Arabidopsis thaliana: one gene and its partners. The protein of the gene in region 3 interacts with the protein of the main gene of each other region in a pairwise test. Each region holds a gene or a part of one and is shown on either strand. Other genes may lie near its edges.

Evidence for each region.
Region 1: the proteins of RFI2 (region 3) and TOE2 interact in binary tests that used the Arabidopsis thaliana proteins (3 or more experiments, as listed by UniProt).
Region 2: the proteins of RFI2 (region 3) and GIS interact in binary tests that used the Arabidopsis thaliana proteins (3 or more experiments, as listed by UniProt).

What each region holds. Positions count from the first base shown.
Region 1 is NC_003076.8:24,205,608-24,209,363, reverse strand, and holds the start of TOE2 (target of early activation tagged (EAT) 2), read right to left. Parts: upstream 1,676-3,756; 5' UTR 1,212-1,675; coding exon 679-1,211; intron 542-678; coding exon 516-541; intron 427-515; coding exon 396-426; intron 291-395; coding exon 203-290; intron 130-202; coding exon 1-129.
Region 2 is NC_003074.8:21,506,134-21,509,889, reverse strand, and holds GIS (C2H2 and C2HC zinc fingers superfamily protein), read left to right. Parts: upstream 1-2,150; 5' UTR 2,151-2,283; coding exon 2,284-3,045; 3' UTR 3,046-3,318; downstream 3,319-3,756. UniProt on the Arabidopsis thaliana protein: Probable transcription factor required for the initiation of inflorescence trichomes in response to gibberellin (GA). Mediates the induction of GL1 expression by GA in inflorescence organs and is antagonized in its action by the DELLA repressor GAI.
Region 3 is NC_003071.7:19,552,685-19,556,440, forward strand, and holds the start of RFI2 (RING/U-box superfamily protein), read right to left. Parts: upstream 1,964-3,756; 5' UTR 1,668-1,963; coding exon 1,475-1,667; intron 1,102-1,474; coding exon 929-1,101; intron 808-928; coding exon 749-807; intron 642-748; coding exon 616-641; intron 527-615; coding exon 238-526; coding exon of another isoform or gene 159-237; coding exon 1-158. Other genes in the region: AT2G47710 (Adenine nucleotide alpha hydrolases-like superfamily protein), read right to left, coding at 2,361-2,448, 2,533-2,654, 2,892-2,986, 3,089-3,272. UniProt on the Arabidopsis thaliana protein: Mediates phytochrome (phyA and phyB)-controlled seedling deetiolation responses such as hypocotyl elongation in response to red and far-red light. Required for light-induced expression of LHCB3 and CHALCONE SYNTHASE (CHS).

The DNA of each region.
Region 1 (3,756 bases), on a different chromosome or scaffold from region 3:
CTCCATTTGAGCTCCCCACCCGCCAATCTTTTGCAAAGCAACTCCTTGATATCTAGAATTATTCCTTGAGAAACCAGAGCTCTGTCGCCGAAGTACTTGCACAACTTCCTCTTTGGAAAGATTCGCCATCTGTAAAGTTTGAAAACCAGATAAGAACAAATCAAAGCGTACATGTCTTCATTTGTACATCTGTAATCAAAACCTGCTTGAGATCCTCTTCATAATCGCCAATAACGAAATTGATGTCAGCTTCCAGACCCCGGAATTTGACAGCAGCTCGATCATACGCCCTACACCAACGAAAGTTGAACTTAGGAAACAATTGTATCATAACGAAAAAACAGTTGAGTGATCAATAAGATCAAACAAAAAAATATCATTTCCAAAGGCATTACCTAGCTGCAGCATGGGCAGTATCAAATCCACCTATTGAATTCAAAAGTTAAAGCTTTTATTAGAGAACTAAGATCCCAGCAGAAATCAGTTCACAGTAGTACAGCCATTAGAATCCATACCTAAATAAACTTGTTTACCGCAATCCCTGCAACCATGAAAATTGACAAAAAAGAAACTTGTAGATTAATACAAAATCTAAACCAAGCTCTTCCATTTTCGACCAAAGATCAACAACTCATCTAAGACCTATCTAAAAGATAAATCAATCAGTAGTAGATATACCAGATATGCGATTCCCATCTGCCTGTCCTCCGATAGAAAGTGACGCCTCTATACTGAGAACTCTTAGACCTAGGACCTCTCCTGCTTTTCTTCACCGGCTGTGATGGTGGCTGCATCACCCGTGAAGCATCGCCACCACCGCTCCCGCTACCTATAAAGTCTCCACCTTGTTTCCCCCTCTGGAAGGAAATATCAACGGTGCTCCTTGAACTTTGAGCGCTCGAATCCATAAAGTTCATGCCTTTAGCAACAGGAAAAAACTCCTTAGTCATCATCACAGCACTTCTTTCATCATCATCTTCTTCTTCTTCTTCTCCTCCTCCTTTCAGTATCTCAAATTGAAACTTGACCGTTCGTGTAGAGCACAACTCATCTTCACCATCTATACAGCTAGAAGCTTCAGCATTAACAACAGAAGAGTTCGACGTCACCGATTCATCCATCTGATTCAAAGAAACCCCTTTAACAGTAATCGAATCTCGTTCGTTCTGAGTAGACTCGGTCGAGTCGACGTCGAGATTGAGATCCAGCATCAATCTCAAAAAAGTCAACAAAAAAGCAAACAAAACTCTGAGCTTTCACAACAACAACAAAAACTATTTCTTCAAGCTCTTACTTACACATTGATCAATAAATTCAACGATCGCCGTCGATTTGAAATAAACAGAGCTCATAAATCACATTACATAGGTGAAAATCAGCACGAGTATGGAGAAATCAAACGGAGATTTAGATTCTGAAATCAATCAAAAACACGACGGAGGAGGAGAAGGAATAATAACCAAAGAGAAAGAAGGAAAAAGCTCAATCACTAAGGAGAGAAATGAGATTGAGGAGACATGGAGATGAAGAGTTGAGTATTGGTCTATGGGGATTTGAAGAGACAAAATAGCTATCGCCGGACGAAAGAGATAATCGTCGGCGATTAGAGAAAATAAAAAGAGAACGGGGAATGATGATGGGACGTAAGCCTGTGGGTTAGTGGCAACAAAGGAACATTTTAACATTTATTTATTCCTTCCATCTTTCTCGGCAATTTGATACCGGTTTTGCCTGTTTCCGGTTTGAAGTAAAAACGTGCTACTTGTTTTTGTTTTATTAGCTTGGTTTAAATTTATGATTAGTGCTTTTACAGTTTTACTATGATAAATTTACGGTTTAAACTGTATGTGTTAAGCTTTTCTGTGATTTCTTTACCAAGATAAGTTATTAAATACAGTATTAGTACTAAATAGATCTGTTAAGGCCTAGGGACAATGAGGTGCATTTTGTTCATGGAATGAGGATTTAATGGATGTGTTCATCTTGGTTAAATCAATTTGAAGCGTGTTCTTCGAAACATTTTGTAAACACATCTGAAAATCATCAAATTTAATTGGGGTTTCACTTTTTATCCTTGAACAAACTCAACTAAAGTGATTTAGTAATTCAAATTTATAGAATGAATCAAACGAAATTCGTTTTTGTATCCTATATAGTATATCTTATTATTAATCTGCAAACAAAGATTGGTAAAGAAAAGCGAATCTACACTATTATATTCACAACTTTGAAGACACATAAAAACCAAAAAACACTTTGAAGTCACATATTCATAGCTTTGAAGACAAAGCATTTGTTTTCATTTAATGGCGGGTCCTATATTTGCAGCTACGTCCTCCTCACAAACAAAAATCTGTAAAGACTTAAAAGAGTGAGATAGAATAATATGACTTTTTATTGATTTATATGGATAACAAGTATCCAACCAACGTAACAAATGTGTCACATGTAAAAAAAAATGTGTCACATGTTAGAAAAAGGTGTAGAAGCTAGCTATAATCAACAATTACATGCATAAAGTAACAAAAGTTATATCATTTTAAGAAGTTGTTATTATTACAAAAACGAATGTGTATGGAAAATAGTTAAAGATGATGGGGAAAAAAATCACTAACATCAGGTTTGATAGCTTTAGTTTTTCTTACTGGACATAGTGATGAAATTTTGTTTTAATTTCTAAGGTTTTGACACATTAATTACTATTGAAATTGAATGATGTATGTTATCTTCGCCTTGTTTGTAGCCAAGTTTTAGTAAGGCCTTGAATGAGTGTGGTTTTTAAACTAGTTTTTGGTTTTAATTTTTTCTAAAATCTATTTTGTAGCCATTCAAGATTTTGAGAAAACAAGTTTTCCTAAAATATAGGAAATCTAGTTTTTGAGTGTTTTAACAATTTTTCAAAGAAAACCAAAATCTATGTTTTGGGAGTTTCTCTCTCAAAAACAATCGATCACATTTTTTATTTTATTTTTAGATTTGTTTTGTAAAAAAAATACTATCCATTAACATAAAAACCAAAATCTAAACAAATTACCATTCAAGTTTTTTAAGAAACTAAAATCTACACCAAAAACAAAAACCAAGAAAATCAAAAACTAAAAACCAAAAACCAAAATCCAAAATCCAAAAACCATTTTAAAAACTACAAACATTCATGGCCTAAATAAAAATGAAGCATGTGTTTCCTAGTTCCTACAATATCACATTGTAAAAATCTATCAAGGCTAGAGAAAATTATCTCTGCATCAACTGTGTCTCAATTTTCTTTTAGATTTTCATTGAATGAATAGCTATAAGTAGAAAAAAAACACATATCCGATCAAACGTTGATAACACAAACATATTGTATCAAATCTTATGGTATCTTGTATTCATTAGTATTGTCTAAATCTCTAAGACTACTACATAGCTTGAGAGCAATGTGATACAAAGAGATCAACAAAGAAATGGATAGGTTTCCAAAATGGATAATTTCGAAAGTCTAAAACAAAATATATTTTGAGTACAAGAAGACATAGGAAAGAACAAAAGCCAATAAAGGGGGATTCTTTTACAATCAAAGGAAATTATTGTTTATTAAAAATAGAAATAAAATGTACGTAACAACGTATTATGTTCTTAACACAGGTTACGGGCGAAAAAATGAAAATGACCTAAAAATATCTATTCTTTGTGTCCATACGAATCTCTTTTTTCTTTGGAAATGTTTATTGAGTGGGGTAGGTCAAATGAACATTCCGACTGGTTTTAGCCGGT
Region 2 (3,756 bases), on a different chromosome or scaffold from region 3:
CTTTAGAAGAGGTTTCAGTTTGATTATAATGCCAAAGTACATAAATTGATTAGACCTTTAAAGCTCTAGACTAAAACCTTATTCAATCTCTTCACCAACACGTGTCATCTTAGTCTACCTCACATTAATCTAAAGGAACACTGTTATTTACGGTTTCTATTCAACAGCTAAAGCCCACCGAGATACTTTCTCTGCTCGCAGCTACATGGGTCACAAATCGGATCTATGCAATCAAATGGTGTTGTTGCACAAGTTGTTTGGTTCTCTTGAAATTTTATAAAGTATACATTTTGATGTGGTTTGCTGGATGTACTAGCAATCTTCTCTTGTATTCATGCTTATGCTCTCGATGTAGACTAAACTGGCGCATTTGTTTATACTTTATATATTTTATAATTTATGTAATAAAAGAATTTTTTTATGTGATGTTATTGTTTTTATAATTCTTGTCACATGAAGGCGATGAAAATTTTGCTTTCTCGTTTAGTTTGCTATTAAGATGACCTTATTATTGTTGTGTGCTTTGGGATATCTAAACCGATATTTAAATTTAAGTATTTTTAAAATCGAAGTTGCTTTATTTTCTTTTCGTCATAAGGGTTCGTATCATTTATAGAAGATTCTTTTTAGATTAAGGCTTGGAATCGATTCCCCTCAACTGTGTCACTTTTTTTTTTTTTTTTTTTTTTGCACACACTTTTATGGCAAAAAAGAAAACCGAATTTCTATGAGCCGGGGGAATGAGTCAAGAGTTCAGTAAACCAAGAAAAGAGAAATGAAAGAAGTAAAAGCTGGTCCCTAAAAGAGAATTCTCTTCGAACTATATAAATAGTAACATCCGGGTACATGTGTGATCAGTGAGTACACACCGACCCCCACGTACGTTCGTAATGAACCCAATTCCCTGATAACTTTCACCTAGTTTTAGATTTTTTTTAGTTACTTATCATAAATTTTACCATGACCCATTTTCTGCTCCATAAATGTTGTACGTGTCTGTTTCATTACTACAGTATTGTTTATTTTTTACAATTGTTTTTAAAAAATAAATTGAAACGGGTCTTTCATTTATTTAGATCAAAGGTTGTCCAAGAGTTTTAGAAGAGCGACGACATCACAAAAATTTGTTTCATGATCAAGATCCCGTGGGCAAATAGATCCTTAAAGAATCTAATCCATATGAATCAGAAAAGGTAAAGATTAACGGAACCGAGACAAGACATGATTAATTCTTTTAATAAAAACCAATTTGATCAAAAACTTAAATTATTAGTATCGAAAAGAAAACTGTACCAAACTAACTAATATGTTACATATTATATGTACTACCTAGATTAGGTTGAGAAAGCTATAGAATTTCTTTTAAAATCGAAAAACTGAAAATCTCAATGAAATTGGAATTGAAAAAAATCGTAAGTCCTATATATTAATTAAGTGCACTATTTGGAAAAGCACTTGTGGGAATTTAATAAGAAACAAAAGTAGATATCACAGGAACCAGGCGGAACAATGGTTTTGAAGGAAGTTTGTTGGGGAAATGAATATATACAAAAAAAAACTAATTTATTGCATTTTGTTCAAGGACCTATTTCATTGTGACCAAATTTAGCAAAAAAACAGTGGCATTTTCGTGAACTAGTAATTTTTCAGAGTTTGTCAAAAAAAAAAAAAGTATTTTTTCAGAAAGTATTGTGTACCAGATAAAATTACACAAAATAAACTACCATATTTACGAAAATGCCACCCATCCACTATGTAAATTAGAAAAACCAAAATATGAATATGGAGAAGTACATTTTCTCGGAGAAAACTATATACTTAATTAGTAATTTATCAAAATATGAATACGAAGCTTTTATGTTATGTATTCGTGTATATATATATAATCGAAGTCAATAATTTAACCTCCAACAACCTTGCGTCTGTCTAAGCATCTATCATAGATCATGCATTATAGATCCATAATCTTCATCCGATACAATCTAACACAATTAATTCCACACCGTTAGTGAATAATATTGCGACTTTTACATATAATATTATATTCAATCCGTTCATCATTCTTAAGTCTTAAGAGACCAAGGATAAGCTATCAACCTTTCTTTAGCTCTTTGATAATTAGAAGCTATCAATCAACCTTTCTGACATACAACAAATAGAAAATTTAATGAATTGCCATAAAAAATAAGAACCAATCAGTTTTATATAAATGTTTATCTATCTCTCTAAAGCCTCATAACTCTATATATCGCCCAGTCTTTTTATCTCTCTGACTCTCTCTCTATGGACGAGGCTACCGGAGAAACAGAAACTCAAGATTTCATGAACGTCGAATCCTTCTCTCAGCTTCCTTTCATTCGCCGTCCTAAAGATAAGAACCCTAAACCCATTCGTGTCTTCGGAAAAGATTTCACCGGCAGAGATTTCTCTATTACTACCGGTCAAGAAGACTACACCGATCCTTACCAGACCAAAAACAAAGAAGAAGAAGAGGAAGAAGACCAAACCGGAGACAACAGTACGGACAATAATAGCATCAGCCACAACAGGAGATTCGAGTGTCACTATTGCTTTAGAAATTTTCCTACTTCACAAGCCCTAGGTGGACACCAAAACGCTCACAAACGCGAACGTCAGCTTGCCAAACGCGGTGTTTCCTCTTACTTTTATCATCCTGACAATAACCCTTACAGTTACCGTCATTACCCGTCGTGGACCAATGGTCCGTTAACCGCGGCTAGGTCCTATGGAGGATTTTCTTCTGGTCCTAAGCCGTCGGGGTATTATACACGACCCAGCTATGGGAGTCAGTTAGGACTATGGCGTCTACCGCCTCGCGTTCAAGGCGTTTATAACTCAAACGCAGCGTTTACTAGTAATGGCTCTTCTTCTTCTTCTAATTCGACTTTACCGTTGTTGACCCGTTCTCAAACTCAACTATCATCGCAAGTGGGTGGCTCCGCTGCTCAGAACAGAATGTCATCGTACGGTTACGGATTGAGCCCTAACGTGCAAGATCATGTGAGTCTCGATCTTCATCTTTAAAGATTTGAAAACAAAATAAAACTCTTATTGAGTGTTATGTAACTTAGTGCAAGAAAAAACAACCTAAGTTATTGAATATTACGTAATCTTTAACGATTAGACTTCTTATTATCTATACCTATTCCCTTATTGAATGTTTTGTAAGGTAAGAAACGGCACGATGTGTAAGATTCACGGCATCGATCTTTCTTTTTTTACCCATACGTGCTTGAATGAAGGAAGGGAATTTATGAATTTACGTGTCCACATTTAATATAGCTTCGAACACTATCGTTTTGGTTCAGGGAAATTGTCAGTAATAGACTCATAGCAGTGCTTACTAGTTACTAGGGTATTTAACTATAACCGCACAGTGACTCAGATAGAATTTCAACGATAAAATGATAGAATCTTTACTGTACGGAACTAACAAGTAACAAATACAAAAACAAAAATTAAACCTCTCGAGTACAAATCTTTTTACGAGGGTTTGAAACGAATCTAATGGACACTGTACTCATCGCCATCTCCTTGAAACAAATAAAACTCAAGATGGGTAATAAGTAGCTAGGTAATAATTTTAGATGATGCCAATGATGATAATTTGGTGCGTGTGGGTAAGTGAAGACAATGGACAAGACAAAAGGGTATAGAGAGAAACAAAGTGAGTGAAGTGGTCCATAAACACACAGATGTAGAGTTTACGATAGAGATTTCTCATCTGTACTTAAT
Region 3 (3,756 bases):
GTAATCCCCTTCTTGTCATGGAGATGAGAGGTGATGCGAGAGTGGGACCATTGGCATGATGTTGTTGCCTCTGATGATTATAAGCATGATGCTGTTCACGCATTTGGGTGCTGCTTCCTTGGTAACTGTTAATTGCTGGTGAGGACCTTTGATTAGACCTACAATGCCCAATTCCAAAAGAATATTGTAAAACACTCTGCAAGAAGTTGAGAGCAATAGGGAGTTTGAGAAGCTAACCGGTGACTAAAAAGAAATGGATGCGCATAAGGTAGGCCTCGTGCTGCTGAAGAGTCAACTTCACCATCAACCACATGAGCAGCGGGTAGTGAAAACGATGGGGAATGGTGATGATACTGGGGGGCAACAGGAAGCTGGTGAAAGTGATCGTTAGAGTGGCTGTTCCAGGGATGATCATCTGTGCTGTTATTGTCGCTAGTTCTCGGGGTAGCGGCTGGGCCAGGTCCAACATATGCAAGATACGAATGATTCACAGCAGCGGCGTGATGTCCATGGAACTCAGTATGATCTAAGGAAGAAATATGGGTTTTGACATTATAAACGGATTGCTAGACAAAATGAAATGATTATATACAGAACAATCAGCGTCTAACTTACATGTAGTGGTTGCAGGTTCCAGTTCCCTGAAACACAGAGCAAAAGTCAATTCTAGCTTTCGCGTTTGAAGGATCAAAAGCCTTAGAAAAGAGAGATAATAGCAAAAACCATGGTAAAGGTGTTGTAGGCTTACTCGAAAGAAGCTGCTGCTTGAGAGAGTTCACCAAACGGGCACCAATGGACCCGATATTGCTGCAAACCCCGTAAAAATGTCAGGATAAGCGATCTCTCATAAGGAGGTTATATGATAAAAGCACAGTTCTCATGTACACGAAAAGAAAGCATATCGTTGCACAAAGTAGTGAGCTTTTACCATTTCCGGATAGCTTAAACCGTACAAGTCTTCTTCAGGGATCCAATCTTCCATGGAAAACTCTGGAAAGGGGCGAGTAGAACCGTTTGCATACAACCACTGACCCTTTTCGACATTGCGACAGTTAGGGCATTGCATGGCTCCTTTCATGTTAAATGCTGATCCAATGCAATCTGCAAGAAACCAAAAAACAAGCTGCTAAAGGGAAAGCCGAAAATAGCAACAAATTCAGCAGCCAGATAATAGAACTAGCAAGCCTCATTCTATATCTACACAAGAGAAGAAACCGATTCACAAGTTACGACACACATTTGTCAGAACTCGATCATTTCTAGGATCAACCAACTGCAGAGTCGTGGCAATCTAAGCTTGTAAACAAAGCAAGGGATTAGGAATCCATCTATATTCTCAAATTCATTCAATTATCGTCCAAATCTACCATCAGATAATTGCACAAAAGCTTGTACAAGCAAAAAGCCATCGGATCATCAAACTGTGATGGAGGGAACGCAAAATGGTAAGAGATGGAGGAAGGGAATGAAATACCCAAATGGAACTGGTGACCACATTGGAGCTTAGCCTTGGATCTGGTACCATCATCGAGCACCGATTCGAGGCAAATCGAGCACGAGACTTCGACAGGAGACGAGGAATCCTCCGGGTTCCCGCGTTTTCCAGGGTCACATCCACCAGCAATTCGGAGATCATCATCGCAACCCGAATCTTTAGCTCCGGCCATATCTTCACCAGCAGGCCAAATCGGAGGGAACCAACGAAAATTTTCGTTTTTCGAAAGAACAAAAAAAAAGAAAAGAAAGGATTGTCAAACAAAAATCAATGAGAAACCATGTCTCGCTATCGCTATCTGTCTCTCCGAGTTCGTCTGCCTTTTGGAACGCCGATGCGGTAAATCTATCCTTCCTCTTCCTCTCTCTCTCTCTCTCTCTCTCGTCCGACCTGTTAGAGATGACGTGGTTCAAAACCGGACAATGACATTGGACTCTCCCTTTTCTTTTCTTTCCTCTCCCATTGTGGATAATTTTTTATTATTATTTTATTACTTTAGTTTTGGATAGATGATCATCAAACCATCCATCCATCTGAACCAACAACCAAACTATAAATTTGTTCATTTAAATCATTAATCTCTATTTAGTTGATTTGTTTTCTTCTCTAGTCTCTTTCATATGAAGTTTATTATAACTTTCACATCCATTTTGTTATGAGAAAGATTAGCATATTATAACACACGAATATTGATTGTCTAAGGATACCAAAACATTGTATGTAGTAAACAATTACACATATAGATGCAAATGTATATTGTCTTGAATCGTTGTTTCACATCAAGCTAATATTATTTCACTTTATTCTTCTGAATTAGAAGACTATGCAGAGACTTTGCTTTGACCGAGTAGCCTTCCCTTAGGTTTCAGACCTTGATCTTAGGCTTCTTCACGATCATCACCGAGCAATGAGCATGATGAGCGCAGTAGTCACTCGTACTCCCGAGAACCGCCCTGCCACACAAACCGACAAGTGAATCAGAATGGGTGTATAGTTGAAAGATTGATCATAAGAATTAAGGCTGAATGAAATAATACCTCTTGATAGCTCCATATCCATGGCTTCCCACAACAAGAATAGAAGCATGATGCTTATCTACAACTTCACATAGGATATTCCTTGCATCACCTTCGAAAACTTCGATCACCGCGCCATGAACCTACACAACAAACCTAGGAATGATGATTGAAAAGAAGAAGATAGTTGCTAACCAAAGATAGATAGTTACTATAAGAAAAACCAGTGCTACTTAGCTTGAAGCTCTTAAATGTGCTAGAGATTCACATTCACATTACCAAACTCATCTAATAGAGTCCAATACAACACATGATGACGATTATAAAATCCAAGAAACACATAAAACGAATTTGAATGTTTGATAATAGCAAGATCGTACCGATCTGCTCTGACAAATTGCTTTGGCTTTCTCGACAACCTTAGCAGCGGTATGCTTCAGATCAGCATCAACATAAGGTACAACCTCCGCAGTTCCTAAAACACACAGATTAACAAAACCTAAATGATCTCTCCCCATCGCTGCCCAAAACAGAACCCCTAGAAGAGTAGATTCGAGAGTGAAAGCAAAGAGCGTACCGGGACCAGCGAGACCAACGGCGGAGACGGCGTTAGGTTTGGCGTGGACGATGAAGAGCTTAAAAGGATAATTGGGAGCGTAAGGAGCGAAGAAACGATCGAGCGTCCACTCCAAGGCGTAAGTGCTCTGCTCGCTGTCGTCAACTCCGACGACCATCACCGATTTCCCATCTCCGGTGGCCATGACTCTGACGTTGTTCGCCGGCGTGAAGAAAACGCGCTCTTGTGTTTGTGGTAGAAAGAAGCCTAGAAGAATCCTCCAAAGTGTTTGCACAGAAAAAGAGAGTTTTGGTATCTTCTTCTTCTATTATTTAATTTCTTTAAATAAAAAGAAAAGAGGAATGTGATACTTTGATTTGATGACGTGGCTGGTCCTCATTTCTTTATGCCTTTCCATTAGTAAATTTCCCAATATTTAAAGTTACCCACAGATTTTAAATAAGAAGAACCCACAGATTTTACACAAAATTTATTCTAATTTGAATATTACCCATAAAACAAAGTACATAAAAGGATTTTGCAGGTTAACAGTTATTAGCTTTTTAGTAACAAACTGATATGAATTGGTTTGATAACTTTCGATTTTACTTGGAAATTAACTATTACAAGAAAAATCTAATTTCAAATAGTGGAATGATTTGAGTTGGGTAAAATCCGGCTCAGATGAT